Linked DNA regions of Rattus norvegicus. The protein of the gene in region 2 purifies or fractionates together with the protein of the main gene of each other region. This does not show direct contact. Links are inferred from orthologs where the notes say so. Each region holds a gene or a part of one and is shown on either strand. Other genes may lie near its edges. The genes, in order: Ap3m1, Ap3s1 and Ap3b1.

The links.
Region 1: the proteins of Ap3s1 (region 2) and Ap3m1 purify together in Homo sapiens (co-immunoprecipitation; 4 studies listed by BioGRID and IntAct, counting the BioPlex papers as one, with this or other methods). This does not show direct contact. The link is inferred for Rattus norvegicus from reciprocal best matches to the Homo sapiens genes AP3S1 and AP3M1.
Region 3: the proteins of Ap3s1 (region 2) and Ap3b1 fractionate together in Homo sapiens (co-fractionation; 5 studies listed by BioGRID and IntAct, counting the BioPlex papers as one, with this or other methods). This does not show direct contact. The link is inferred for Rattus norvegicus from reciprocal best matches to the Homo sapiens genes AP3S1 and AP3B1.

What each region holds. Positions count from the first base shown.
Region 1 is NC_086033.1:3,302,214-3,312,674, forward strand, and holds part of Ap3m1 (AP-3 complex subunit mu-1), read left to right. Parts: intron 1-585; coding exon of another isoform or gene 586-588; coding exon 589-861; intron 862-1,537; coding exon 1,538-1,709; intron 1,710-5,404; coding exon 5,405-5,542; intron 5,543-6,365; coding exon 6,366-6,451; intron 6,452-7,205; coding exon 7,206-7,339; intron 7,340-8,247; coding exon 8,248-8,455; intron 8,456-9,410; coding exon 9,411-9,555; intron 9,556-9,952; coding exon 9,953-10,053; 3' UTR 10,054-10,461. UniProt on the Homo sapiens protein: Part of the AP-3 complex, an adaptor-related complex which is not clathrin-associated. The complex is associated with the Golgi region as well as more peripheral structures.
Region 2 is NC_086036.1:41,673,289-41,683,749, reverse strand, and holds part of Ap3s1 (AP-3 complex subunit sigma-1), read right to left. Parts: intron 9,562-10,461; coding exon 9,470-9,561; intron 6,200-9,469; coding exon 6,088-6,199; intron 1-6,087. UniProt on the Homo sapiens protein: Part of the AP-3 complex, an adaptor-related complex which is not clathrin-associated. The complex is associated with the Golgi region as well as more peripheral structures.
Region 3 is NC_086020.1:27,328,804-27,340,064, reverse strand, and holds the start of Ap3b1 (AP-3 complex subunit beta-1), read right to left. Parts: upstream 5,108-11,261; 5' UTR 5,036-5,107; coding exon of another isoform or gene 4,908-5,035; intron 1-4,907. UniProt on the Homo sapiens protein: Subunit of non-clathrin- and clathrin-associated adaptor protein complex 3 (AP-3) that plays a role in protein sorting in the late-Golgi/trans-Golgi network (TGN) and/or endosomes.

The DNA.
Region 1 (10,461 bases), on a different chromosome or scaffold from region 2:
AAAGAAAATCAAATAAAAAACACAGTAGGACAAAAAAAACAAAACAAAACAAAACAGAATGTGTATACATACATTCACACATACACAGAGTCATCCTTGTGTTAGCCAACTACTCCTGTGGATGGTGCCTACCCTACCCAGTGATACTGTATTGGACAAAAACAATTTTCCCTTTCCTAGCATGTATCAGTTGCAAACACTTCTTGGTTAGGAGTAGGACTTTGTGTCTGCGTCCCTTTCTCTACCCTGGGGTTTTTGTCTAGTTTGAATTTGTGGAGGTCTTTGTGTGGTGTCAGAGTCTATACGAGTTCTTATGTGTATCATCTCTGTTGCGCCTGGAAGATATTGTTTCTTTCCTTGGAGTCTCCACCACTTCTGGTTCTTGGACTCTTCTCTCCTATACACAGTTCCCTGAGTCTTGAGGGGAGGGGTTTGATAGACCTCCTATTTCAGGCTGAGTGCTCCAAAGTAACTCTCTGTGCTTCATCCAGTGGTGAGTCTCTGCATTCACTGCCATCTACTGCAACTGTGCATTTTCAGAGTACAATAAGTATAACCTCCAGCCCCCTTTGTTTTCCTTCACAGAAAATGATCCACAGTCTATTTCTCATCAACTGTTCTGGCGACATATTTCTAGAAAAACACTGGAAGAGCGTTGTAAGCCAATCTGTGTGTGACTATTTCTTTGAAGCTCAGGAGAAAGCTGCTGATGTTGAAAATGTACCACCTGTCATTTCAACACCTCACCACTACCTCATTAGTATCTACCGGGATAAGCTCTTCTTTGTGTCTGTGATACAGACTGAAGTGCCACCTCTCTTTGTAATTGAGTTTCTGCATCGAGTTGCTGACACTTTTCAGGTTTGTATCTGTCAAACTGTTGAAACTAAATCACCCAAGATAGTTCAAGGAGACAGACAGACAGACACACACACACACACACACACACACACACAAACACACACACACTGGTTATTGAAGTTTCTGTGTACTGTCTGACTTCTCTTTGCAACTAAACATATCTCATAAACACGTGCTGAGGGTATACGGTAGCACACATCGCCACTCTACTCATTGTTTTTTATGTGCGGCAAATTATATCATGAGGAGACAGGAGTGCCCTCCAACAAGTATTCTCTGGATCATCACAAAGTTTTTATTGATCATGAGATCCTTTATATTTCTGTTGTCTATTTCCTATTGTTTTGACGAGTAAACCAAATGGCTTAAAGCTCTGTAAGTGTGTGGGTGTGGGTTAATAGGGCAAATGAAGTTTATGCCTCACATTCCAGATTAATGTCTCAGTACTTTCTGGCATGATATAGTAGGAATCAGCTCAGTATAAATACAATAAGAAAATATTGAAGAGAAATGTTAGGACTTCCATAGAGAATTTTTTTCAAGCCTATATATTTCTAGCCTCATTAACCATGAGTTAACCTACTATTAGTTTACTCCAGTAGTTTACAAAGGGGATTAAGAACAGCAAGCCTTCCTCCCTGCCTTCTCTTGTTCAACACCATGACTGTTTTGTTAGGACTACTTTGGTGAGTGTTCAGAGGCTGCAATTAAGGATAATGTGGTCATAGTGTATGAGCTCTTGGAAGAAATGTTAGACAATGGATTCCCACTGGCTACCGAATCTAACATTCTGAAAGAACTGATTAAACCACCAACAATTCTACGTTCTGTCGTCAATTCTATTACAGGTATGAAAAATGAAAACACTGCTAGGAACTGATCCATTGAAACTGTATGAACAGCTCATTTTGCTCATATGACAGACTATTAGGGCAGTCCAGTTTGGCCAAAATTAAAGTTAACAATAATGTTTAAATGAATGTATATCTCTTCTCTCTCTCTCTCTCTCTCTCTCTCTCTCTCTCTCTCTCTCTCTCGGTGTGTAAGTGTGTGTGCACATGAATGCACACATGCCATAGTGTACACATAGAGGTCAGAAGACAGTGAGAGTTGGTTCTCCCCCTCTACCACATGCAATCTGGAGATTGAATCAGGTCCTAAGGCATAGCATCAAATGCCTTTACCCACTGGCCCATCTGGCCAGGCCCCCTTTTCTTTTGGAAGGTGGAGAACAGTAACAGAAACAGATAATATGTCAGGTGCAGCTCACATGTGTAATCATATCACTTGGGAATTGCTAAGTTCAGGGCCAATTTGGTATATAGAATGAGAAATTTGTTTTGTTTTGTTTATTGAAAGAGGCTCAGTCTTGAAGGACAAAGGACTTTTAGGGTTATACAGCTCATTTTCCTGTTGCTGGGTTCAATGCACAATACTTCAGAGAAAGAAAAACTAGTCAGTAGAAAATTAGATCATTAGTAGATGTCATGCATATTGGGCCTTATGCTTTTTTATAAATAAGCTTTCAATTGGGTATAATTCTAGGCCATATCTAGAAATTCAGTATATTCAGTTCATCCTTCGATTAAATCTACAAAAAGCGGGCATGGTGGCACAAGCCTTTAATCCTAGCATTCAGGAGAATTTGAGACCAGCCTAGTCTACAGAGTGAGTTCCAGGCTAGCCAGAGCTACATAATGGGATTCCATGCAAAAGAAAAAAAAGTCTAATAAAGGAAGATTCTTACTGAATGCTATATACCTCTCCAGCCAAATCTCTGGTTGTCCTTTTAACGTTGGGGAATTACACTCTGGGAAAACGGTTTAAATAAGAGCACTGTGGTATTTCATGGACACTGTAGTGAGGCACTGCAGATCTCTCACAGTACGAAGTGTGTTTGGTGGGGGAAACAGTACAAACTCGATAGATACATAGGTAGGTAGGTAGGTAGGTAGGTAGGTAGGTAGGTAGGTAGGTAGACAGACAGACAGAGAGATAAGTAGGTAGACAGACAGGCAAGCAGACAGACAGAGAGAGAGATATTTACAAAGAGAAAAATGCTAAAATGTTCACATTGACTATTTTTAGCTAAGGAGCCAGCCATCCTCATTTTTGCCGTATATGTTTTAAAATATATATTATGAATGTGTGCATGTGCATGGAGGACATTAGGTGTCATGTTCTGTTGCTCTCACCCGAGTTCTTTGTTGAGGAGAAGAGGTCCTCTGAACCTGGAGCTAGGTTGGCTCCCAGCCCTAGCCATGTGCGGCACATAGCCACATCCATCTTTTTATGTGTGTCCGGGGATCTGGCAGGTCCTCATGTCTGTATAGCAAGCACTTTTATCCACTGAGCCATCTCTCCAGCCCATTTCATACTTTTTAACTTTTAAGAAAAAAAATGGATAGGAAAAAATTACTAATGTGTAGTGTAAAACTATAGCATGGGATGATGACATATAAGAGAATTGTTCAGGCTGGATGTGGTGTGCACACCTGTTATCCCAACTACTAGGGCAACTAAAGGAGAGCAGTTGTAAGTTCACGGATACAGAGTCTTGATTATTAAACTAAAACCCTGAGTCTGTTTCCTAGTGCCACACCTATGTACACATACCAAAGAATGGTTCAATAGTTGAAGTAATCTTTCTTGAACTACCAAGTGGCCCTAGCACAGGACCCAGCAGAATCAGTAGAATGTGGAGTAAGATAAGTAAGAGCACTTATGAGGAAAATACACATAAAGTGGGAGGCTGAGCTGTGTCAGCCCCTCGAGCAGAAGTAGAGCTGTTCATAACTGAGCGCTGAAGGACATTCGGAGAAGGTGCAATTGGCCTACGCCTCTTCCCGTCCCAGCAGGACAGGAAGCCAAGATGGGAGAACACTTGTGCTGGGCCTAAAAAAAACATTTAACTTTTATCAGAAAACAAGCAGGGAGCACTAAAGGTTTCTGAACAGGGAAATAATATGATTAAAGCAGTGTTTTTCTAAAACACTTGGAAAGTAACAGGCTGGAGACAGGATCACCAGCAATAAATAGACTAAAACTAATGTTAATCTTGTTAGCTGCACACACTTCTCTAGCATTTGGGGGGCTGATGTGGGAGGATCCCCAGTTCTAAGCCATCCTGGACTATACACATATCTTGTCTTTAAAAACTAATCTAGAGTGGAATGTATTGTGTTGCTGTGTAGTCAAGAATGACTGAATTTGCAATCCTCCTGCCTCCACTTCCTCACAAGTGCTGGGGTTAAAGTACACACTCCACCATTCAATGCTGGACTTAAAACAAAAGGTTTTATGCATTCTAGGCAAACACTCTGCCTGTTACATCTCCAGCCCTGAAACCATATTTTATGTTTGTGAGGTGCTTTTGTGTGTATTTTGTTTTGTCTTTAGAGACAGCTCTCCTAAGCGGCTCAGGCTGGCTTTAAACTAGTGATGCCTTGGCCTCCTAAGTGTTAGAATTACAGGACTGTGCTCCCTGTCTTGTTTCCTGTCCTAATTTTTTATTTATTGCTTTATGAAAACGGGTTTTACCGTGTAGCTGTGCGTGGCCTGGAACTCACTCTGACCAGGCTGGCCTCAGACTTCCTGTTGTTCTCTTACTTTGTCTCTCAAATGCTAGGATTACAAATTCCAGCCCTACACCTGGCTTTACAGCTGTAAGAAAATCATAATTACCAAAATAGAAACACATTGGTAAATGCTACTTATGGGGGGACTATTTAAAGAAACATGCCTAAATGTTAACAGTAGCTGGTGTTAGTAATAGGAAACAGATTTTTGTTGTTGTTTTATAAATTTACTGCTTTTTACTGCTATGCAAATGTGTTACTTCTGAATTAAAATGTAAACTAAACAAAATGTTTAGTAAATCTCAGTGGAAGGGTCTCTGTTGAGATAACCATACATACAGTTTTCCAGGAAGCTAGTCAGATGCTGAACATTAGATAGACTGACTTTAAGAAAGGAGTTGGGCTTTTTGTTTGTTTTGTTTGTTTTCTTCGCTCTGTTTTGTTTCTGCGGTGCTGGGATTGAATACAGAGCCTTGCACGTGCTAGGCAGATGCTGTGCTGTAGAGCTGCAATCTCAATGCTGATTTAAAGTGGGAGTCAACAAAAGTATGTGCTGTGCCTGGGAACTCCACAGACAGTGGCAGTGCCTTATGTAGAGGAGCCAGGTTCTCAAGTCTTCTCAGCGGACACTTCTCATCAGCAGGGGTGTGAAGTAGCCCCCCCTTTTCATTGCTGGCAGCAGGACAGAACTCTTGTTGAACCACTGGAATCAGGTCAGGTTACTGCTAATAAACAGGAAGCAGAAGAAAAGTGAATGCCTTTATCTTGGTCTAACTGGTAGACACAGGGGCCCATGGCCTGTCTCTGGTCTCTGGTGTAGAATGTGCCTCCAGCATTCGAGAGCCCATCACAGCTGCTATGAAGGAAAATCCAAACATAAGTAGAAACTAAAGCATTCTTTTCTTTTCATAATCTTTCTAATAACCTTACACACACCCACTGTAGCTCTTCTTTTCTAATCCTAGGCAGTAGTAATGTTGGGGACACGCTCCCCACTGGGCAGCTGTCCAACATCCCGTGGCGTCGAGCAGGTGTAAAGTACACCAACAATGAAGCCTACTTTGATGTAGTCGAAGAGATAGATGCGATTATAGATAAATCAGGTAACTATGTACATGTGGTCTTCTGGGGAAAACTTCAGTCAATACAAGTTGAATGGAAAACTGAAATAAATCCCTTAGCAGGAGTTTTTCAGCAGAGAAACATTCATTTTCTATGATGTATAAATTCTTTTGTTCTGCCCAAAGGCTACATGTAATTATCACAACTACTGGTTGAGATATTGCCAGATGTTTCTAAGTCCCTCTTGCAGTTACTCATCTGACAGGTATTACATATCTGTGGTACCCATGCTTCTCCACTCTGTATAGCGTTCCTGCTAAAGGCCTCTTCCGGTTGGTTTTAACCAGAGAAAGCATTGGTGGTAAATATTAGAATCATAAAGTTTCATTTTTGAAACCTCTTATTCTATGCTCACAATGTATACACAAAACCACTGAGACTCAGAACTGTGTGACCTGCTCAGCCCCATACAACTAGTTGGTATATGGGAATGGGTGACAGGTATTGTCTTGTCTTCTCCCCACTCTAGCCCAAGCCTATAACTTAGTCCATTATGTGAAACCTGCTTCATCTTTAAATTGTGTCAAAATACTTTAAACTTCTGTCCAAATAACCTTACACAGTTGACTCTCTAAAGGTTTGATCTTTCTTAGAATAATTATACTCTAGCTAGTTAGGTGTAGCCAGTAAGAAACTGTTGAAACTGGTGTAATAGGTCTGAATCCATCCTCTGTCCTCTCACCTGTCAGTGAGGTGCACAGCCTGTGAGTCTGACAACCAGAATGTATTTCCATTTCTAGATACAGTGATAGCTCTAGAGAGGACCCAGATTCCATTAAGGTTATCAGCTTTTTCTTTCTTTAGGATCTACAGTCTTTGCAGAAATTCAAGGTGTCATTGATGCTTGCATTAAGCTGTCTGGAATGCCTGATCTCTCTCTCTCTTTCATGGTAAGTTATGATCTGTTCTATAGTCCCTTGTATGCATAATACATTTGAAATGCTAAATGATGTGATAATTGCTGAAATAAAATTGTTATCTAAAATTTTACTTATGTCGTATTTATGTGTGTGTCTGACTTGGCATGCATTTGCCAGGGCAGACATGTGGCGATGAGAGAACAACTTCTAGGAATTGATGGTCTCCTTCTACCATGAGGATCCTAGAGAGCAAACTCAGATCCTTGGGCTTGGAAACACCCTCTACCTTCTAAGTCCAGCCCTGGAGTGTATATGTTAGGTTACAAAGGATTATCTCAGGAATATTCCTAGCATAGCTTTCCAGACAGTAGTTGACAGGTGAACATGGCCTTGATGGAAAGGTCAGAGAGATGTCTTCACCTAGAATATGCTAGAACTGGCTGTGGATTCGCTGTCTGGCTTTTGTGTCTCCACTGTCGTTTTTCCTGAGGATTGGCTTTGCTTGTGCAGAAGGCCATTGATACTTGCATTGCTTTAGATGACACACTGCTGCAGACAGCGGAGGGAAGTGTGTTCTGCTTCCGTCTCTGTTCCCAGTGTCTCTTGACTCTCTTGAAGCTCCGTTTTCATCGATGGTTCCATAGTTTATTACCCTCAGGGAAAGTGATGTATGTAAAATGTTTGCAAACTCTAACAGGTTACAGCACTGTAAGGTGATTTAGATGTAAATCCTGCTGTCATACTCCTTATAGTCTCTGCATATGGCTTTTTCTCTTCCTTACAGAACCCAAGGCTTCTAGATGATGTCAGCTTCCACCCATGCATCCGGTTCAAACGCTGGGAATCTGAGAGAGTTTTGTCATTCATTCCTCCCGATGGAAATTTCCGACTCATATCATACCGCGTCAGCTCACAAAAGTAAGTTAATGCATCAGCTAGCATTTGCAGACACAGACAATTTGAATAGGATTCCCGGTTCTCATTTCACCTTTACAGTTTCGTGAGTTTATCAATGCTCCTTTAGCCCTGGCTCACGTAGAGACCTAGTGAGAACTGGTAATGATATGTACCCAAAACAGTTAGTGTTTCTGAACCTGGAAGTGTAGAAAAGTAGTGAGAGAGAATAAGTTAAAATCTATGACTAAGAACAAGCCTTTGGACTATGCATGACCTGGGCAAACCAGGAACTCAGTACCATAGTCACTATGGTCTGTAAACTAACAAGACAGGAAACCCTAAGACATCCAAACGACCTGCTTCAAGTCACCGTTCTCTACACTGAGTTTGGGTTTCGAGGTGGTTCTTGTTTTTAAAACGGTGTCTTAACTTGTTATCCAGGCTAGCCTCAAACTCTGGATCCTCCTGCCTCAGCTTCTGCCACCACATTCAGCTTGCATTGAATTTTAAAGTTTAACATTGTCAGCTGTAGATAACTTGTCCCTTAAAATTTCAGAAAACATTGGGGTAATAAAACAAAACTGAAGCTTTTTTCTGAGAAAATATTTCTTAGTGCTTTAAATTTTTTTAATGGGCTCTTTCTTTAATTTTTTTTAAACTATAACCCTTTATCTCAGTTGTTTATATGGTATTTAAAGGAGATTTCTGTTTTGGTTTATGTATTTGTACCATACCATACAGTTCTAGCACATTGGTACCAGAACTTTAATGTGCTCAACAACCCTAGTGCATAGCTTAATCTGCTAGGATCTATGGCCCTGTGGCACAGTTACAGAGATCATGGGACACATACTACATCTAGAGTGGTCCCATTCCTCTCGTTGTATACCTAATGTTCTTTTGTATCTCTCTCTCTCTGTCCTTTTTAGTCTAGTGGCAATCCCAGTGTATGTGAAACATAATATCAGCTTTAAGGAAAACAGCTCTTGTGGTAGATTTGATATAACAATTGGACCAAAACAGAATATGGGAAAAACGATTGAAGGAATCACAGTGACTGTTCACATGCCAAAAGTTGTGCTGAATATGAACCTGACACCAACACAAGGCAGCTATACATTCGATCCAGTCACCAAGGTACAGGCATTTGGAATCAAGAGTGAGACGTGTTCTGCTGTCTGTTTTGTGGTTGTGGGTGGAGGTCATAGTAGTTAGGAAGCAGGATCCTTACCTTGCTTACACATCTTTAGCTAAGGGTTTTCAGAGATCTAGACAAGATGGTTTTCCCTCAGCTCCCTTGCTTCCTGCTTATGTAGGAAACGTAAGTTTTCAGCAGAATAGAGTACTTGATAAATGCGGTGTGCTGTTTTGTTTTTGTTGTTTTGTTTGAAATGGGGGAGAAGAAGGTCTTACTTGTAGCCCAGGCTGGCTCAAAGCTACTTGCCTTTGCTCTATGCTTAGTAAAAAGCATGTTCTACCACTCTTAACTGAGAAGGTGTGATTTTTTTTTTTTTTAAATAAACTCATAGAGCATTTTTGAGACAGTTTCTTGATGTAGTTCTGGCTGTCCTGGAACTCACAGACACTCTTGCCTCTCCTTTCAGAGTGCGGAAGTTAAAGGCATAGGACATTAAAAGATCCTCTAACCTTGGGGCTGGAGAGATGGCTCAGGGTCTAAGAACATACACTGCTATTGTAGAACAGTCGTTTGGTTCCCAAAAACCATGTTTGAGGTACACAGTTGCCTTTAACTCCAGCTCCAGGGAATCTGACACTTTCTTCAGGCCTTTAAGATGTAACATCTTAAGAATTCAAAGAGCCTCTCTGGGGACCCTGTAAGTGTGAGCAGGCGAGTCCACGTCCTCAGTCAGCCCTTCACCAGAACTGCAGCCATGCTTACATCGATTGCTCAGGCCCACACAGGCCATTTTGCTGTAACTGAACGTTTAGTGATTAGAACAGAAGCCAATTGTCTGTTCCAGGCTTCTCCTGTTTTCCAAGACACTGCTTCATTTTGTGTAGTTTATACCATCTGCTGACCTCTGAGCATGTCTGTAACACAGTTCAGATTTTTTTCTCATGTCTTTTTAAGGTACTAGCATGGGATGTGGGGAAAATTACTCCACAAAAGCTCCCAAGTCTTAAAGGACTGGTAAATTTACAGTCAGGAGCACCCAAGCCAGAAGAGAACCCAAACCTCAACATACAGTTCAAGATCCAGCAGCTTGCTATTTCAGGTAACAACACACTTGCTGTGCATTGTGGGGAATTGGGGATAGGAGTGTAGAAAAGCTAACACAGGAGCAGCAGCAGCCATTTGGGAGCACAGCTTATCTGACGCTCTTCCATCACACATACCTCACCTCGCCTTCATTCAAGAGTTGGAGAAACTGTCATTTGTGTTCACGAAAGTGGAATTAGCTCGTTTCGTGAGCGTGTTTCTGTCCACAGGGGCATCTTAACTAAGGCCATGCTCCCTAGAGGACAGCATGTGGGTACTAGAAAAGGGATATTGTTTCCAAAATGATGAATGGAGCACTGTGCAGGGCACATGGAGGGCACAGCGTTCATTGCCAAACAAGTACTGCATTATTACTCGGGTAGTAATTATTTGTTTCATTCTTTTTGACACAGGCTTAAAAGTGAACCGCTTGGACATGTATGGTGAGAAGTATAAGCCATTTAAAGGAGTCAAGTATATCACAAAGGCCGGAAAGTTCCAAGTGAGGACATGAGAAGAGGCCAGACTTGCTCAAGATCAGTTTGTTTTGCAAGTGTCATTGCGGTTTCTTACTATTAGGTACCAAGTGGGTGGGAATAATATAGAGCATCTGGGTCAAGCTACCCTGCTAACAAAGTTGCTTAGTAATGATGTAGGCTCCTCAGGAGCTTTAAGCTAAGGAAAGTTTTCTAAAGACTTAGCTTATTTTGTATCTTTTCACTTAGGAAAAGGTTTAGGTGATTTTTTTCCATGGGGGCCACCAGCTGAATGCTGCCCATGGTAACAGTCAAGGCAGAAGGCTACAGTGATAACCTCTCTCCTAAAGCAAGTGAACTGGTCTCATCTTCCAGCAGGAACTGTCTCAGTCTATGAGGTGTCAGCTGTAGCCAAGGGTCACACCTTCTGATCTTAGCCATCTCAA
Region 2 (10,461 bases):
CGCTTGCCTAGCAAGTGCAAGGCCCTGGGTTAGGTCCCCAGCTCCAAAAAAAAAAAAAAGAAAAAAACAAAAACAAAAACAAAAACAAAACAAAACAGATACACTGAAACTAATAGAAGAGAGAGTGAACACATGGGCACAGGGGAAAATTTCCTGAGCAGAACACCAATGGCTTATGCTCTAAGATCAAGAATCAAAAAATGGGTCCTCATAAAATTGCAAAGCTGTAAGTCTGTAAGGCAAAGGACACTGTCAATAGGACAAAACAGCAAACAACAGACTGGGAAAATATCTTTACCAATCCTACATCCAATAGAAGGCTGATATCCAATATATACAAAGAACTCAAGAAGTTAAGACTCCAGAGAATCAAATAATTCTATTTAAAAATGGGGTACAGAGCTAAACAAAGAATTCTCAACTGAAGAATACTGAATGGCTGAAAAGCAACATCTTTAGTCATCAGGGAAATGAAAATCAAAACAACCCTGAGATTCCACCTCACACCAGTCAGAATGGCTAAGATCAAAAACTCGGGTGACAGCAGTTGCTGCTGAGGATGTGGAGAAAGAAGAACACTCCTCCATTGTGGGATTGCAAGCTGGTACAACCACTCTGGATATCAGTCTGGAGGTCCCTCAGAAAATTGGACATAGTACTATCTGAGGACCCAGCTATACCACTCCTAAGCATATACCCAAAAGATGCTCAAACATATAACAAGGACACATGCTCCACTATGTTCATAGCAGCCTTATTTATTATAGCCAGAAGAAGCCTGAAAGAACCAAGATGCCCTTCAACAGAGGAATGGATACAGAAAATGTGGTACATCTAAACAATGGAATATTACTCAGCTATCAAAAACAATGACTTCATGAAATTCATAGGCAAATGGATGGAACTGGGTTCCAAATATCATCCTGAGTGAGGTAACCCAATCACAAAAGAACACACATGGTATGCACTCACCGATAAGTGAATATTAGTCCAAAAGTTCAGAATACCCAAGATACAATTCACTGACCACATGAAGCTCAAGAAGAAGGAAGACCAAAGTGTGGCTGCTTCAGTCCTTCTTAGAAGGGGGAACAAAATATTCACAGGAAGAAATATGGAGACAAAGTGTGGAGCAGACACTGAAGGAAAGGCCATCCAGAGACTGCTACACATGGGGATCCATCCCACATGCAGTCAACAAACCCAGTCACTATTGGAGATGCCAAGAGGTGCATGCTGACAGGAGACTGCTATAGCTGTCTGTCAGAGCCAGACAAATACATAGGCGGATGCTTGCAGCCAACCACTGGACTAATAATGGGGTCCCCAATAGAGGAGTTAGAGAAAAGACTGAGGTAACTGAAGGGGTTTGCAACCCCATAGGAAGAACAACAGTATCAACCAACCAGACCCCCCACTCAGAGCTCCTAGGGCTAAATAACCAACCAAAGAATACACATGAAGCGACCCTAACTCCATCAGTATATGTAGCAGAGGATGGGCCTTGATGGGCATCAATGGGAGGAGAGGCCCTTGGTTCTGTGAAGGTTTGACACCCCAGTGTAGGGCAAGGAGGCAGGAGGAAGTGGGTGGGTGGGTGGGGGAGCACCCTCATGGAGGCAGGGTAGGGAGATGGGATGGGGAGTTTTCAGAGGAGCAACCAAGAAAGGGACTAACACTTGAAATGTAGATAAAGAAAATATCCAATTTAAAAAAAAAAAGAGTTTAAGAGTAAAGTGGTATACTAACAGCTCCACTGGCACATACTGTTTTTAACCTTACTAACAAAAGCAATACCAAAAGCTTTATTTAGTCTTGTTACTTATATGTCTAAGCTTGGTCACTCAGAATTTATGATTACATTTTCTACTTAGTAATTTCTCATTTAAAATCAAAAAGTGCTTCCTTCCTGCAGATTTAAAAATCATAACTCATTTGACGAATCTTTTTACATACAGCTTTCCCCAGCTTACAACTTACTGATGCCACATCTCTATTTGTGTACTATTCAGAAAGGAAAAAAAATTCTGTATATTTTCTCTTGATAATCTTGATCCAAAGCAAACTACTTACAATAATTAATTTTTAAATTGTATTTATTAGTGTTTATACACACACACACACACACACACACACACACACACACACACAGCTACATGGTTAGAGGTTAGAGGACAACTTTATGGTGTTGGTTCTACCTGTGGATTCTGTTCTCAGATTGAAATAAAGTCAGCCAGCTTGCAAAGCAAGTGCTTTTACCTGATCCCTGGCCTATAACTACATTTATGAATGCAATTTACTTTTTTTCTTTAGCTTTTAGAGATGGTATGACATATAAACTTAAAATATAAAAACCACATATTTTATATATATATATATATATATATAAATATATATGTGTATATATATACATATGTGTGCATGCATAGATAGATAGATAGATAGATAGATAGATAGATATAGATGACTTAATGATTCTCACAATTAGCCAATCAAGTAGAACTCAGATAAGAAAATGTCAATAGCATGTAGTGACAGCTACATTTCCAAATAACTATTCTAACGTTTTTGCCCTTATTATCAGTTATTTTATTCTAAATACTACATATAGGCATTAAATTCATTCATTTATTCACACATCAAACAATTATTTGTTGAAGACCTACTATTCCTTGTGTGAGATAAATCAGCAATACTAATGCAACACAGTATATAGTCCTGGTAGATAAGTCAATAAATGACTCTAGGTCCTCTTGGGAGCTTTTATTCTATTAGCAGTAAATGACAATAAAGCATCATAGAAAATAATAGCAGGTGCTAAGGAAAGGAAAAATACAGCAAATCAATGGTTAGAAATGTAGAGGAGATTTTTAGAAAGCATGACCACAGAATTCCATACTGAAAAGGTCATTTCTGGTCAAAATCGGGAAGAATGAAATGGAGCCTGCCAAGTGAGTACCAAGTGAACGAACATCTCAGGCATAAAAGCCAACAAGTACCAAGTCTGAAGTAGGCATATGCCTGTAGCATCAACAAGAGGCTGAGCACATGAGTAGGACACAGAAGACAAGCAACAGGAAGGGGTCAACACACATAGGCTCCTGGGTAGCCTATGACATAGTGGCTTTTACTCCAATAAAAGCTGAGGCTATGAAGAGTCTAGAATAAAAGGTGTGAGATGCAGCATATTACAATGGCACTTGACTGATGCACTGAGTAAAGACCCGAGAGAGAGAGAGAGAGAGAGAGAGAGAGAGAGAGAGAGAGAGAGAGAGAGAGACAGACAGACAGACAGACAGAGAAAGAGAGAGCAGTCAGAACTGTCAGACTACAAATGTAACTTGGACCACAGTGAAGAAATAAGAGGTCAGGCAAAGGATTTGCTTAAGATGGAGCAGAATGCAGAAAATAAGGCCAAAGAACAAGCAAGTACTCAGGCTCTGACTTGAAGAGTTCAGCTGTTAGTAACGATAAGACAAAAACTACAGGGCTGGAGAGATGGCTCAGCAGTTAAGAGCACTGATTGCTCTTGCCAAGGTCCTGAGTTCAATTCCCAGCAACCACATGGTGGCTCACAACCATCTGTAATGGGTTCTTGATGCCCTCTTCTGGTGTGTCTGAAGATGGCTACATTGTACTCATATATATATATATATACAATAAATAAATAAAATCCTAAAAAAAAAAAAGACAAAAACTACAGGAAATACAGGTTTCAGATCTATTTCAGTGTGAGATCTTCACGTAATACCCAAGCGGAGATGCCCAGCAGAAACTTGAGTCTTAAATCAGCCATTCGAAGGAAAGGTCTAGGCTAAAGATTAAATTTAGTACCATCAATACACAGACACTATTAGTATGAAATTACCTTACCAAAAGAATAAAGCCACAAAAAGAGAAGATACCCAAGACAAGAAGTAGGGAAGAACTATCCTCAAGATCAAGTAGAGTATTTATCAAGAGTGAATGGCAATCTGAATCAAACAGAGGAAGAACCTGTAATTCACGACAATAGTGCAAGAGAGCAAACCAGTTTCAGATATTCCTTCTGTAGCAAAATAATTTGTTATCAACAGAGAGAGACAGTAGAAAGGGAGCGAAGGTGGAAGAGCACAGTGCTGGCTGAGGGAATGATTTAGAAGAGGATAAAATGCTACAAAGTGAGGGGTGTTGCTGGAGCAAGAGAAGTGAAAGCTAACCTCAGAAGGCCTGGTTCCTCAGCTAGGAGTACAGTGAATGCATTGTTTCTACAACACACAGGAGAAAGGCAGGTAGACAGCAAGAGCCTGCCAATGTTCTCTCCTGACTGCTTCAGTTTTGTTTGTGATGGTCTAGAAGTGAGGTCTAGCTTAAGATACCCATAGAGTCTAAGCTGAATAAGGATAGGCCAAACCTCAATAGGATCAGGGAGAAGGAAAAACATGACATGTTGAAACCTGAGGGACCCAGAACAAGAGAAACAGTAAAACAGAAAGATAAGAAGGCAGCTGAGAGAAGAAATTACACAGATTGTGGACTGACTAGTACTTTGTATAAAAATGAGACATGAACAGAAAGCTGGGGCAGAAAGCAAAGCTCTGAAGGAATGTGGTTCCAGGTTTGAAGATATGAGGCTACTGAATATTACACATGTGAACACTGACGGTCCCACGGAACTTCACACATACCCTCTTCTACTGAATACGAAGCAACTCTAAAAAGTCTACAGAGTATAGGTTTCTGCAATCCTGGGAACAGAGGCAATTGTTATCTGTGTCTTTGATTATCTTTTCAAACTGTCTCACTGACAAACAGCCTTGGAAAATAATGTCTTCCTTAAAAGAAAAGGATAAGCTTATCTTGTCTTTTAAAGAGTATCTCATCCTTTTCAGAGCAGATGTGATTCACCCATTATAAAGAATTCCAGTTCCCTAACTCTGAGGTCTGTCCCCTATGTGATCTGATCTACTGTGGTGCAGACATCACCTGACCCTTCTAGAACTGAGAACTAATGCAGGCAAACATTATCAGGGTTTGGGCTAATTTGTTTTGGGCTGATTTGTTTTGTGGGTAATGTTTCTGGGTTATTAATAATGCAAGAAATCTTCTGTCATCTTCTGCCATCACCCTTTAAACTATAGATTAACTCATCGGCGTGCAAACAGAGCAAAAGTTCTAACCCTCTACATTTGTTAATAAAGCCCCAAAGTATGGGAGACAGATGGAGATGGATACAACTAAAAATGTAGGAAGATGACTAGTCTGATAATATGAGATGAAATCTGGAGATGTTCTAAAAGAAAATATCCTGGAAGAAACAAATAAAACATCTCCAGGCTCAATGATATGAAAAGGCAAACACATATACGCACAAACTGTTACTTGTGAAGGTTGAAGGCAATGATGAAGAAGAAGCAAGATCTAAAGAGCTGAAGCAACATTAACAGGTAAGATTCAAATTGAGTTTTCTGGTAACTGATGAGTTCTACAGACATTACAAACGTTTTTCAGAAGAGTCAAGTCTTTAGATCAGATTCAGACACATGCAGAGAGATTCACAATCTTGGGTTCCTTGCAGTAACTCACACGAACAAAAAAGGCATGATGAAATTAGCTTTAATTACTCCTAATCAATTTAGTTTCTACAGCCCTTTAACATGGTTTGAACTGGATCATGAGGGCACTGTCTAAGTGAATTAATCTACTTATAAGTTCATACCTAAACAGACTATCAGGAGGTGGAACCTAGTTGAAGAAGGGGTCTCTGGGAGGTGTCTTTGAAATGTCTATGTTGTCCCCGGCCCTCTTTGCTCCCCCTGCCATGAGGACAGAGCATACCTCTACCAAGCTTTCTTCCAACGCTACTCCTTTGCAATGGACTTAGATTCAATGGGATCAGCTGGCAGACTGAAATTTCCAGAACTGTGAACCAAAATCAATCTTTCCTCTAACTTGATTTATGTGGCACTATGTCACAGCATACCCATAATATCTACTATAGAACAGCTCTTATCAAACAACATCGTTTTATAAAACTTTAATCTTAAGTTTATAAAAATAGAATAAAAAAACCTAAGTAATGGTAGTAAGATGCAACTGTTGACTTACTTGAATTAGATCTAAAATGCCAAGTTCACTTTCTGAGGAATCCACACAGAAGACAAAATATAGTGTTGCATAATGTCTGTAAATCAGTTTGTTGTCAGATCCTCCAATTAATCTAAATGACAAAACAAGATAATTGAAATGGTGTAGGGAACAAAATGCAGAACACTTCATTAGTTCAAACAAAATCACATTTGTTAAAAACTTTTATAAAATAAAACAATGGCGTAGCATTCAAGTAAACTTACTTCAGAAACTAAGCAAATTAAGATAGCAATTTTCTTCAGAAATGTCAAGTAAAAGAAAGCAGTGCTTAATTTTAGTTAGTTTATTCATTACAGTATTCACTGAGTAAGTGCTGTGTGTCAAGCACTATAGCATGTAAGGAGACAAGAAAGTTAACAGGTAGGGGAGGGTATCACACAGGGAGCCAAGACAGGTCTCCAGCATATCCATGGAGTTCAGAATGGACATTGAGAGACAGCAATATCCAGACTGACATCTAATCAGTAGGGTGAGCCATGGAAAAATGAAGAGAAAAGCACCTTGGGCTAAGAGAGCAATGACTGAAAAGGTTTGTTTCATCAAGACAGTATGCACTTTCAATGAGATGTGAGGCCAGGAAACAAGAGATTAGTAAACAATGAGGCTGAAGGAACTGGAAGAAACCAGATCACGGGGCATGTGCAAGTGCTTACAAGATATAACTTCATAAGTCACAGTAAAACCCACAGCTTAAAACTGATCATCAGCTAGGAAAAAAAAAAGTATTTTTTAAGCTTTAAATAGACGTAGTATCATGACACTCTCCAAAAACATTTTTCTTAAATCTAAATGTAAGAATACCATGCTAATATTCAATCCTTTCATAAAATACTTTTATTCATATATTCATATTATTTAGAATTTAGCGTTTTTAAAAGAATTTAGTAGTCATCTGAGACATCTTATGTTTTTCCAAATATATTTTAGCTGTATAATAGTCAAGTTTATAATAGCAATTTCACATTCTCAAGACTACTTAAACATTAACATAATTTAAAACCAGGCCATACATAATCAAAACTAAGAAAGCATTCTCAGCAATATAGGATGTGGCATTTTTCCTATTCTGTAAACATAACACTAAACTCATAAGCTCTAAAGAACTACTTCTCTAAGTACATACTCTCTCTTGTCCTGTAAGAACAAAAACAGAAATTATCTTGGGGGGAAAAAATGAGGGATTCCTACTATGCTGGGTTACTTGTCTAGAAAGAGTTTAATTTAAAAGTCTTTATGTGCACTTTAAATATTCTGAGATTGGTTATGACAACAGTTACTATTGTTCACTGTAGGGGCAAAATGAGCACATCAGCAAATTCATTTTAGGTTTTGTTTGTTTATGTTTTAAAAGAAGACCATGCTTCTGAAAAATGTTACAAAGTAGCCATTAATAGAAAAGGGTTTCTATTGCTATGATGAAATACCATGACCAAAACACAAGTCTTTGAGGAAAGGGTTAAGGTGACTTACACTTCTATAGTAGTCCATCACTGAAGGACGTCAGGACAAGAACTCAAGGCAGGAACCTGGAGGCAGGAGCTGATGCAGAAGCCACGGAGGGGCTTACTGACTTGCTGTCCCTGTTTTGCTCAGCTTGCTTTCTTATAGAACCCAGGACCACCAGCTCAGAGATGGCACCATACACAATGAGCTGGGTCTCCCCCATCAATCACTAAGAAAATGCCTTACAGCTGGATCTCATGGAGACATTTTCTAAACTGAGGCTCCCTCCTCTCTGAGGACTCTAGTTTGTGTCAAGATACCATAACACTATACAATACAGAGGTGATATACAGTATGTAAAATTTTACAAATAGAAATTGCTAATTTCTGATATCTCCTTAGATTCTTTGGAGACGAAAATGAAGTTCCAAGGATTTGAACAACGTGACCCAGTAAACTGGCTAGCCAGACTCAGAACCATAACAAAGACAGAAAGACATGGTATTTGGTTCCTGTTTTTCATATGGTTAGGAAAGAATCTCAATTTCAAGGTATAATTCTATCCAAACAGGACCCTCTTTGGATCAGTCTACCTAGTGTAATGCACTATGCAAGGTGAAGCAGTCTGTGAGATAAGGTACAAAGATGAGAGAGAGAAGCAATGCCTATGGCAGAGACAACTGGATTCCTACCGAGATCTAACAGAAACACAAGTGGCTGCCTTGGCCATTAAATTAGAGTCTGGAGTGGGGTTAACAGCAAAATCTACAAATCATAAATATGCATTTCATGTTTAAGTACAGCATGATAAAACACTTTTTAAATGCAAACAATGACAAGGAGCTGATGATGCACAAATATACTCTCCACATAAAAGAAACATTATGGTCAGACAAAAATGGGTTCTGCTGCCCAATTTTTTTTTATAATATGCATTTTATCATTCATGAGGCTAAGCTGATTCTTAGCATTAACTCTCATTAAGTGTATTAATTATATAATTGGGGAGAAAGTATTTCTAGAAATATTTAGAAGTAAGCTGCTTTCAATAAAATCCATTCATTTTAAAGTATTTATTTAGAGTTAGGGATGGACATCAGCAGAAAAGCACTTGCCTAGCATACAGAAAGCCTTGTGTTTAATTCCCAATGTTGCAAACAATGAAAAATAAAAATAAAAATATTTTCAATGTTTGTTTAGTTTAGCAAGATTTTTTTTCATTTTAAAAATAGAAACATCTACCAGCTGAATCTATACTAGTGGTATATAAGTACATAGACATAATTGAAAGACACACTGTTTATAATAAAATAAAGGATATGATCTGAATTTTTATGTGTATTCACCCTAGGAATACAATACCCATTTTAGAGAGAGAGAGAGAGAGAGAGAGAGAGAGAGAGAGAGAGAGAGAGAGAGAGAGGAATAAGCTCTCTTTATTATATGGGTTCTAGGGATCCAATTCAGGCATCAGGATTGGCAGCCGGCAGGCATCTTTACCAAATGAGCTCCATTTCTCCAGATGTATTTATAGGTAAAATGTTGAACCAAAAAACCCAACAGGCAAAGACATGAAAAGTAAGATGCACTTTCTAGAGGGATATACAAGAAACTGGGGGAAAGAACTAAGACGGGAGAGAAAAATTATTTTAAAAATTTATATTTACCTATAATAAGTAAATTCTACTATATGAATATATTAACTTTATATAAAATAACAAGGAATTTAGAAAGTTTGCATATCTTAAAAAGTGTATAGATTAGAGTTAAAACTAATACTGGTAGCAACAAAATTACCTAATTTAATTAATTATAATGAGGAATTTTCATCATCAATAGCAGTACAGACTGTCATTTCACACTGGAAATTAGAAAACCCATGAAATGCTGTACTTACAATCCTCCTTCTAGGAAATTACAAACATTCTCGTCTCGCTTAGACACCAGATGGAAAGTCTCCCTGATGATTTGCTGTTGCGTATCTTCACTCTGAAGAAGGAATTCATGTGTATTAACATCAAGTCTACAGGTTTAACAGTATTTTAAGACATTCTGAAAATAAAAGATAGTAATTTTAATATGGAAAAATCTGGAAAAGGGGGAAAGGGTCCTTGGAAAACAGATTCAAATTACAGAAACAAAAACTAAGTTTTTGATGAAGTGGGGAAAAATCATTATAGTTTACTACTACAATGAAAGCAACTTATTTCTTCAAAACCAAATGAGAAACAGAGCACTCAGACACACTTGTAAAAAAGGAAAGTAGACCTCAGCTAGTTAAAGACTGCTGCTTTACAAATGGCTAAACTGAGCAGGAAAGTAATGTTAGGTAACTAATGAAACATTATCTACTATATTTGAGTGCAGGGACAATAGAGAAAGCTTGAAGTTTGCAGGTAAACTGAAACTTGAGAAAACAGAGATTGAGGCTGAGTCTAATGTATTGATATTTATTTAAACAGGCCCCCAACTCAAGAACTGTTCCAGTAGATATTTTCTAAACTCAACTAAGCAATTCGTATCCCAGTAAAAAAGAACTGGCTTCCCAAATCATTAAAAAAAGTAAGGAAAATCATGAACAAAGATTTCAGAGGAAAGGAATATCATGGTCCATAAACAAACATACAGATGTTAAGCCTCAAAGTAATTCAGCGACCATCAGTTAAAGTAACAATGCCAACACTCTAAAGAGCCACCCTTGCAAACGTATAAGATACAGCAAAAATTCAATGCAGAGAAACTCTCAGCCCATCAGTGCAAGGATAAGTGAAACTAACTACCATGTCCAAAGTTTCCTTGATCAACATTTTAGACTCCTCATACTATTCTATCCCCTATGAAACCAGTTTTTTGAAATCAATAAACAACTACCAGCAATGGCGTATATAC
Region 3 (11,261 bases), on a different chromosome or scaffold from region 2:
AGCCTGAACAATAGGAGATCATAGCTCTAGACAGACAGACAGGAAGAATGGACAGGGAAGGGAAAGAAGGAAAGAGGAAGGAGAGAAAGAGAAAGGGGAGAGGGAAGATGAGAGCTCTCCTTTAAATACGCTGTCTTACAAAAAATCTCCCAGAACAGGCAAGTATTACCACGCCTTTCTAGAAACAAGGAAACGGAAATGTGAAGAACTCAACCAAGCTGAGCAAGAGTGATAGCTGAGCTGCTATCACTGGAAAGCATTAACTTAAACCTTCTGCCTCCTGTGACTCTCTAATAGCACAATGCTCTCTAGGAAGGGGAGACTTGGGAAACCCTGTGCTCCAGCATAACCAGCATCACACATTTGCAATCACTCGTATGTTTCTGTTGAACTGAGAGGGGAAAAGAGAGGAGCTGGATGACTACCAAACTAGTTAGATGAAAGGAGTTCTAGTCCCCTGTGATGGTCTGAATGAGAATGGCTCCCATAGGCTCGTATGTGCAATGCTTGGTCCCACTTCGTGAAACTGTTTGGGAAGGATCGGGTGTGTGCTTGTTAGAGAAGGTGTGGTTTTGCTGGAGAAGATATGCTTCTGGGACTGGCTCTAGGGTTTCAAAAGCCCACACCAGGACCAGTCTTGCTCCCTCTGCCTGCTACCTGCAGATCAGGATGGGATGTTCTCAATGACTGCTCCAGTGTCAGGCCTGTGTATACCAGGATGATCATGGACTAACACTCTGAAACTGAAGCAAACTCCCAGTTAAACGCTTTCTTTTACAAAAGTTGCCTTGGTCATGGTGTCTCCTTACAGCAACAGAACAGTAACTAAGACACTGCCATAGTACAGTAAGCCAGTTATAATCCTCAATGAACTACTTCACAGTTGTGAGAAACAAGAAAGGAGCCAAAGGCTGTACACAAAAAAAATAAGGAGACAGAATTGCTAATTTACCCTGGTTTGATCAGTTTGTAATGTATACACATGTTGAAATGCCACCATGAACACCATAAATATATATATGTATATGTATATGTGTATATATATATGTATATACATATACACACACACATATATAAAATTACTGCGTGGCAATAAAATTGTTTTAAATGATTGCTCTAATTTTTTTAATGAGATACATAAAAAGACACTTAGAAATTCAGAAGAAAATCAGAAAATTGACTAGTCTTACCCTTCATCTAGAAACTACTTTGCAATTAGATGGTAAGCCAGAAGAAATTGAAATTATTTCTTTATATATACACCCAAATGGACTAAGGTAAGGAAGGTTCTTTTTCTTTTTTTTTTCTTTTTTCTTTTTTTTTTTTGAAAAATAAAGACAAATGACTTAGGTGATAACTAAAAGCAATGGAAATATAGACTATTCCAAAATAAAGCGGCGGGGGCCAGGGGGCAGAAGTTAGCTCTTTACATTTAAAAGTGAAGAACATTGTAAGGCCAGTAAAGTAATGCACTGGGATGATTCACAAAAGCTATATGCTGAGGGGGATATGCATTCATAGGCAATGTAAGCTTCCCGTTCTGGTTTTGTTTGAAGGATGAGAAGGGTTACAAAATTTCAAATAGAGTCTGAGAACAAAAATCAGTGACTGATCAGGAAGAGATTAGACGTATTTGGAACAGTCAGTGAAGTACTAAAGAACACACAACGAGAGAGTGCACGGCAGAGGACACAGGGAGCAGGGCACCCCACTCAGCCACAGCAGCAGGCAGGTTCAGGAGACTGTATCTTAGGCTACCAATCCACATCACAGCCACGCCTACTCCAACCCTAGGGCATCTGCTGCCCTCTGCTGCCCTCCTTAATCACCTACACTTACCTGCACACACACAGAGGCCCATCTCTATAACAAAAACTTCATGGCTGGCTGCTGAAGACTTTAATGTAAAAGCTAGCCAAATGGTCTCGAGCTATCTCCCAAGAAACCCAGATTGGGGAAGGGGGTAAAAATAGAAATCAAGCTACCAGAAAAGCCCTTAACTGGGAAACTTAGGAAGATTGGGTACCTTGTGTCTCTAGGCACAACAGATGACACATTACGACACTGTGCTCAAATCAGTGTCGGAAACTCAAACCCAAAGATGATGGGACTCCAGCAAAGGCCTGTTGACTAGCACGATATCTCCTGTACCAGTGTTAACTCCTTGATCATATCTGACGACTTAAGGGACTGTTTTTATTACCAAAAACAGATACTAAGGTTTTAAGGGTAAAGGGCACGATCTAAACATAATCTCCACGGTTCAGAAGACAACAATGCATGTGACATGTGTGTAGAGAAGTGTGTGTGTGAATGTGAAAGGAAAGGGGTAAGGCAGAGAGAAGAGGGAAGGAGACAGGAGGGGCAGGGGAGCACAGTGACTGTTTTGACTGTGGCTCCAGACTGGAGAGAGAGCTCAGCGGCTGAGAGTCCACACTGATCTTCAGAAGACCCCAGTTTCAGTTCCAGCACCGTATGCCTGTTAACACCAGTTCCAGGCCTTCTTCTGGCCTCCGAGGGTACCACACAAACCCACACACCAACGCAAGTGAAAAAGTAAAATCTAAAATGATAACCAGTGACTTTACATAGAGTGGTTCTCCTGACAAATGCTGGGGGCATAAAAACTGAAATGATTTTAAAGTCAAAGACAAAAGGAAAAGAAGCTATTACAAAGTAATCCATTAAAAAGTGGAGCAAAATGTCCAGGTGTGATAGGTCACACCCAGAAATCCAAGCATTCAAGAATCTAAGGCAGAAGGATTACAAGTTTGAGGCCAGCCTGAGCTACATAGTGAGATCCTATTTTGAAAGACAAATGTTTTTAATGAGAGCTCAGGAGAGACTAGGTGGCCACTTCCAGAATAGGAGTCTGTTGCTTTCTACACGACTGACTCCATTAAACTGCAGCTCAGTAGCCAAAATGTTTCAGTTCCTGAAAGCCAGAAGTCATATAGGATCTATGGCTACTATGCAAAACTTTAAACTTTTGGTGAGCTGTATGCATTCCCTAATTAAAAAAAAAAAAAAAAAAAAAAAAAAAAAACAACAGGGTTGGGGATTTAGCTCAGTGGTAGAGCGCTTGCCTAGCAAGCACAAGGCCCTGGGTTCGGTCCCCAGCTCCGGAAAAAAAAAGAAAAGAAAAGAAAAAATAGCATTGATTTCAAGGAGTTAATAGCATACGCAAACACATTAAAGAAAGAACTGAAAAAAAAAAAAAAAAAAAAGAAAGAACTGAGATTATAATGTCTAGGTTCAAATTTGACAGCTTCGTGACCTTGGGCAAATTAACCAACTAGACTCCCGTTTCCTCACCCTTAAAGTGGAATCATGGAAGTACTAGGAACAGCCCACTAAAGACTGAGGACTAGGGATGTAGCTTGGTGGCAGAGCACTGGCCTAGGCAAGGCCCCGGCATGCAGAAACACACTGAAGATGTTAATTATGAGTGTCCATGCACAAGCACTCAAGGTTCGCTCATTTTACTTCAACCCTAACTTCAGCTGTGAGGCATGCATTCTTCCCAAATTTTACATAGCCGGAAAGAAAAAACACCTTAGATGCTTAGAGATTAGAAAAGTAGACTAAGTGTACACAAGTCACATGCAAATTCAACTACTGAAACCTTCTACTGAGGGAAATGTAGTTATAATAAACGCCTTGTTGGATCAGTCAGTCACACAAATGCACACAAAGACAGATTTACAGCAATCATGTTTTAAACATTCATATCCTGGAAATAATGAACACAAATAATTTATATGCTTTATGCAAGATGTTAGTCAATAGAGTCGAATTTTCACCTCAATTTCAACTATTAGCACCTGGGAGGCAGACACAGGAGAATGGCAAGTTCCAGTTGGGGACCAGCCTGAGCTGTCTAATCCACAAATTCTTATTTTAATTATACCCCTTAACACCCACAAGACTATCAGTCCAGTTTCCTTACCTTAAGTGACGGTTTATTATGTTTTCCTGCACTATGTAACAATAAGAGATCAAAAATAAGAAAAACATAAAATGGCATGGTGGTTTGTGCACTGGGGTAGCAGAGACAGGAGGATTTCTCTGATTTTTCAGGCCAGCCTGCTCTACCTAGTGAGTTCCAGATCAGCCAAGGTTACATAGTGAGACCCTGTCAGAAAGCAAGGGGTGGGGAGGAACCACGACAAAGCAAAGCCCACCCCACCCCACCCCACAAAAAAACTAAACTAAAACTGAATCCGCTAAGGATGTTTTCAATTCTGGGCGGTATTTGCTGTGAACCCTAAGTAACTGTTTACAAAAGTGGTTAGTGATTATTTTTAAAATTCATACTATTTGTAAATAACTAGAATTAGGTTTGGTTCACAGCAACACTCTATTTAAATATTATCTCAATGCCTTAGAGGGCGGGGGAAAGAGTACTCTGGTGCAAAGATCACGGTGTAAGAAAACGCCAAAGGGTTTTAAAAAAACAAAGCTGTCATTCATAGAGAACCCCACCTCTTAGTCCTTATATTGCAGGGTCCAAATAAGCAGCAGGCCCACTCTCAACCCCCTTCCCCAAATACTCTCGTCACCTTTAAATAAATGACTTTCTCGAGGTCTGATCCTGTCCACTAGTTTGATTCACTAGTTCAAAATTCAAGCTCCTGTGCTCAGCCCAGATCAACTCTGTCAACGGTTTGGGAAGTGGAACCTCAGCTCAACAACCGGTTTTCCTTTCCCCCACCAAAGTTTGAAAACCACCGGCGTCGCCTTTGGCGTCCCCAGACGTTCCGAACAAGCCCCGCAGCCGGCGGGGCTACCCCACCCACCCACCCACTGCAGCGGGGACCGCAGGGAGGTTCCTCCGGAACCGAGAGCAGCCGGGTGGCCGCCTAGCGTCCCCGCAGCGCTCCCGCACCCCGAGCCCGGGTCCTCACTTCTTCCAATCGCTGCTGAAGAGGCCGAAGGCGCCCGAGGAAGAGATGGTCGAGGTGGCCTCCTGCCCCAGCTCCGCCGCCTCCCCTCCTCCGGACTGCTCGTTGTAGGCGAAACTGTTGCTAGACATTGCGGCGGTGCCGGCCAGCGGGCGGGTGCGGGCGGGAGCTTGCGGGGTTCTCTCCGGGTGGCTGGCGTTCCGAGGACACCGAACAAAACTAGTTCTGGTGCGGAGGGGGCGCGCGCCGGCGCTTCCGGGCTCGTCACCGCTCCAGCCGGCCGGGCGGCCCACCCCCTGCGCGTGCGCACTGAGTCCGCGCGGGCCGGCGCCTGCCGCTCCGGGAGCGCTGGATTCTCGCGCTCCGGGTGTTAGAGGCCGCCGGGAAGCTGCACCCGAGACCCTTAACAGGAAGCTGTGGTTTTTGCACCGAGTTTGCCGGAGGGTAGTGGGCAAGTAAAGTACTGGATTTGAGGCCCTTGGATGCGTTTTGCTGGAGGAGATCTCAGACCCTTCAAGGTTCTTTGCTTCACTTCTGTTGTCCGCTGATCGCTCCCGGAATCCTCCTGAAACACCGAGCACACGCCAGACGAATTTAGCTTCGGTGGTCACGAGTTCTCAACCTTTAGGGCAGGTTCCCGCCCCTCTCTTAGCCAGCGTGGCCAGACCACTGACGTTCTAGACTTGAAAGCTCCTCCTCCCGGGAAGGCTTGCAGGCTCTGCACCGAGGCGATCATCCACGGGCAAGCTTTGGCTAAGTATTCCTGGGGCTTGAGGTTCTCACTTGGAGTTCTAGGCGTGCGTCCTGCCCGCAGTCAGCTGCCCCGAGCGCCTCGGCGAGGTGCCGGAGTGCGCTCGCCTCTGGGAGCCACCTGCTCCCACTCTTTGGCAAATAACTTTCCAACATCCCCTAAGCAGCTAGGTGGGATGGTTTGTGGTCGCGGTAGCTGCAGCCCTCCTGCCCCGGGCAGCTTTCTAAGAGGAGCCTCACCAGCCGGCCTCCCTGGTGACTATGGTTCCTTCGTTCCTCATTCCCTACACCTACGGTCCAGAAAGGACTGAATACCTGGAGCCCGACAGACAATCACCAAAACCCAATGGTAGCACCCGGCAAACACCAACCCGGGTCCCACCAATATTTCTCTACCTGACTGAAATATCGCGTCGTCTTTCTGAAAACATGATCCTCCCTAGTGCCAGGAGGGAGAGGAGCCTCCAAACTGATCAAATGTTGGCAGTTAGTTAACCTTTCAATGAACCTGTCCAGATAACATGTGTGTTAGAGCATCTCAAATACATTGCTTCCCGGTATAGATGATATTGGTGGAATCTCTCCTACGACTGATCGACGGTGATGAGGTGTTATATGATGTTATATGATGCTTAACTTATACCCCATACACTATTCTAAGTGGTGTGCATGAATTAATTCGTTTACTACGGAAAGACACTAGGACTTGCTTACTTTATCTGTCAAGTAATGGCAATGCTGTACACATCCTCACTACAAAATAGACCTGAGTATATAATTTTTTAATTTTAGAATATATACACCTTTATTAGATATTCTAAATTGCTTTCCTAACATTTATGAATGAGAGGGATTTCCTCACATTCTCATAATTTTGTCATAAATGTCATATAGATACTTGTATTATAATTAATTTATATGTTCATGTCGATAATGAATATGGTTATCTTTCATGTGTTTCCCCCTCCCCAGGTGCTTTTTATTGTCTTAGAATTGCACACAAACCTGTTAATCCAATTTATCTCGAATAGTTCATTTTCTTATGAAAAAGGTTTATTATGTTTTTAGAGACAGGGTCTCACTCTGTAGCCCTGCCTGGCCTGGAACCTGCAATCCTCCTGCCTTAAGCTGCCAAGTCTGCGGTGCACCAGCACACCCCACTTGAAAAGGACTCATTCTCAAGTCTCTCTTTCTTTAACAAGCTGCTGGATTTTCACTGGTTGTTGTTTTGTTTCGTTTTCATACAGACTCGTGTAAACAGTTGACCTGTGCTTTGGAAAGTTGTGGGGGAAGTCTTGCTTTATTCTGTTTAGCTTGTCCTTGGAATGGGACGGGCTGTCAAAGCTGTTATGTTTCTCAAGAAAAAGAAACAGTATTGGGTAATTTATTTTTTTCCTCCTTCCTGGAATATTTTATAAAGATATAAAGCCTATGTCCTTTGGAAAAACATAAAATTCTCCTTCTCTGTTTCTGTTGCTGTAATGAAACACCATGACCAAAGCAAGTTGGGGAGGGAAGGGTTTATTTATTTGGCTTACACTTCCTCATGCTGTCCATCATTAAAGGAAGTCAGGACAGGAACTCACAGGATCCTGGAAGCAGGAGCTGATGCATGGCAGTGAATGGGTGCTGCTTACTGGCTTGCTCCATTGCTTGCGCTGTCTGCTTGCTTTTTTTTTTTAATTAATTTATTTATTATTTATGAGTACACTGTAGCTGTCTTCAGACACACCCCAGAAGAGAGCATCAGATTCCATTACAGTTGGTTGTGAGCCACCATGTGGTTGCTGGGATTTGAACTCAGGACCTTTGAAAGAGTAGTCAGTGCTCTTAACCACTGAGCCATCTCTCCAGCCCCCGCTGTCGGCTTTCTAATGGAACCCAAGACCACCAGCCAGGGATGGCACCATCCATGGTGGGGTAGGCCCACATCAATCACTAAGTAAGAAAATGCCCAGGGGTTGGGGATTTAGCTCAGTGGTAGAGTGCTTGCCTAGCAAGCGCAAGGCCCTGGGTTCGGTCCCCAGCTCCGAAAAAAAAAGAAAAGAGAAAAAAAAAAAAAGAAAGAAAATGCCCCATACAGCAGCTGTTCTCCACCTGTGGATCACAATCCCTTCAGGTGTTGCTTATCAGAAATTTACATTACGATTCATAACAGTAACAAAATTCAGGAAGTAGCAACAAAAATGATTTGATGGGGGGAGGGGCAGTCACCACAACATGAGACATGTCTCCAATTGAGGTTCCCTCCTCTCCAGTGGCCCGAGCTTGTGTCAAGCTGACATAAAACCAGCCAGCACATTCTGAAAACATGAGGAAGTGGACAAGGAGAGACCTAGACCTCCCTAATTATAAGATTGTCTATCTGTACAGAAAGAGTAAAATTTTAACTCCCTATGCAGAAGTCTAATCTTCCACTCCTCCAGAATTTAAAACTTTTATATAGCCCTAAAGCTTTCTAATAAAAAATTATAAATGCTAACTGTCCAGAAGAAACACTTGAGAAAGAACCAAAGAATCAAATCTATTACCAAACCTAAGCCAGATTTCTTTCCTACCCTCATGTACATTGTGTGTGTGTGTGTGTGTGTGTGTGTGTTGAAATAAATACTTTTTTCAAAAATACAAGGTTATTTTTCCATGATTTTTCTGCAATACTCACCAAAACCTTCATGTAATATTCTGATTTCCATTTTTTTTCATCTAAACCATCATGCTAATATATGATAAATTTGGATGCTGGGCTTGGTGGCCCACACCTTTACTCCCAGCACTTGGGAGGCAGAGGCAGGCAGATCTCTGTGAGTTCAAGGTCTGTGTTATATAACAGTGCATGCAAGGACAGCTGGAACTACATATCAAGACCCTGTATCAAAAAAAGAAAAACGTTTGTATGTATTGAACTTGTTCTCCAAGCACAATATGTGTGTGTGTTTCTCCTAATGCAAATTAAAATCAATGTCATCTTATGTCTTTTTAAAGATTTGTTTAGCTACTTTATGGGCATAGTGCTCTACCTGCATCTGTGTATGTCTGAGGGTGTCAGATCTCCTGGAACTGGAGCTACAGACAGTTGTGAGCTACCATGTAGCTGCTGGGAACAGAACCGGGGGCCTCTGGAAGGGCACCTAGTGCTCCTAATCAGAGTCACCTCTCCAGCCCTATACCTTATTTTTTTCCTCTTTGTATTCTCTTAGGTCTCTTTATCCATCCCCTTTGTCTCTCATATGCCACACAGAGTTACCTTGCTTTAAATATCGACATATTATTTTATTTTGTTAATGAAAAAGATTCTTTTCTTGACCAAACTTTGCAGCCTTCTGACTTCTGCTGGACCTACATCTATCTCAGTTCTTTGTAAAGTTATTTTTAGCAAGAATATTCCACCCTCCATATCTAATCAAAGTTGATCCCTCCCTCCCTTGGTGTGGTGGTCATCTGTCTGCCATCAGCAGGAATTCCGTTCTCCAGCTAGACTTCTATTCCTAGACCTGACCTCCTTCTCCAAACACTTATGAATCACCACCAATTATCCCTGGTATATTCGAAATGCATCCCTGGGTTAGCTCGCTCTTTCCCACTGTAATAATCCTACTCCATTTTACATTCTGTCTAGCCTTAGTTCTCTTTATTAATAGATGAGGCTTTTTTTTTTTTTTTTTTTTTTTTTTTTTTTTTTTTTTGGAGCTGAGGACCAAACCCAGGGCCTTGCACTTGCTAGGCAAGTGCTCTACCACTGAGCTAAATCCCCAACCCCTAGATGAGGCTTTTTTATCTAGTCAGCAACCTACTGCTGTACACATATGTGTTCTTCCAAATTTTAAAATATTATAACAACCTTTTGAACGCATGTGTCCGCATCCTGGTGTCAGAATTTCCATAATTACAGTCTCAGAACACCAATAACTAGATTGAATTACATACACACTTAAAATTTTGCTAGAGGCCAGGCACACTAGTAGTCCCATCTACTCAGAGGCTAACATGAGAGAATCACATGAGCTCAGAAGTTTGGGACCAGCCTGGGCAACATAGCTAGAGCAGGCTTTAAGAACAAAAATGTTATCTAACAAACATCACCAAACGTCTAACTGAAGGCAGAGGACCACAGTGGACCAGTGGTCCTTTGATTTAACCCTTTCCAGTGATGACTGTTGCAAAACTTGTTTGCTAACCTGTTCGGCAAAAATAATCAAATCTTAAGAATTGTTTAATGCTTGCTCAGTATTAAAATGTCAGTGTTGGGCTGGAGAGATGGCTCGATGGTTAAGAGCACTGACTGCTCTTCCAGAGGTCCTGAGTTCAAATCCCAGCAACCACGTGGTGGCTCACAACCATCTGTAATGAGATCTGATGCCCTCTTCTGGTGTGCCTGAAAACAGCTACAGTGTACTAGTATAATATATGTGTGTGTGTGTGTATGTATATATATATATATATATATATATATATATATATATATAGTCAGTGTTGTTTACTGCTCGATTTATAGGGACGTAATAAAAATCACTGTCCATGTAGGAAAATTTTGAGACCAAATGACGATGCTCCTGATTGTACACAGTTTCTGGGGGAAACAGAACTAAATGGTGACCATAAATGTGACAGATTAAGAGCAACTCAATTACAAAACAATGTGAATTTATCTTTTATTAATTATGCAAACTTGAAAAGTGCTTATTTTAAGTGGATTACTCATCTTCTTCATTTGCAAGCAAACTACAGATAAAGCATTTAAACTTCATTTTGCATAAGTTATAAACGTGAACAGGTAGAAATCTAAGTAAACTAATTATAGAAAAAAAATTGAAAATTTGTCAAAACTCTGCCCCCAAAATGTCCTGGACCAGGGAGGGATTAGAAAGATGGCTGACGGGTTGGGGATTTAGCTCAATGTTAGAGCGCTTGCCTAGAAAGCACAAGGCCCTGGGTTCGGTCCTCAGCTCTGGGAGGGAAAAAAAGAAAGAAAGATGGCTGACAATACTTACTGCATAGTCAAGAGTTCATATCCCGGAAGCCACAAAACAAGCCAAGTGTCCAAGGAAGGAATTGGGGGTTGCTGGCTTCAGGCCGTGCTGAGAAAACCCAAGCTCCTGGTTAGGAAAAGACCTTACCACAAGAGACTAGGCAGAGAGTAATAAAGAAGGATACCCAACTCATTTTTCAGGCCTCCAAGTGCACACACAGAGACACAAGGGCATACTCCATGCACAGACACATGCACACATATGGTGGTTTGAATAAAAATAGACCCCATCAGCTCATAAAGAGTGGCACTGATTGGAAGTGTGACCTCATTGGAGAAAGTGCATCACTAAGGGCAGGTATTGAGGCGTCAGATGCCAGCCCGGTCCAGTGTCGCTCTCCCTGCTGCCTCCAGGTCGAGGTATAGATCGCTCAGCTCCTCCTCTAGCTCTGTGTCTGCCTGCGGTGCCATCATGCTTCCCACCATGCTGATAATGGACCAAACCTCTGAGTGTAAGCCGGCCCCAAATTAAATGGTTTTCTTTATATGAGTTGCTGTGATCATAGTGTCTCTTCACAGCAAAAGAAACCCTAGGACATCACATAAATAAATGAATAAACAAATATTTTTAAGAAACCTTA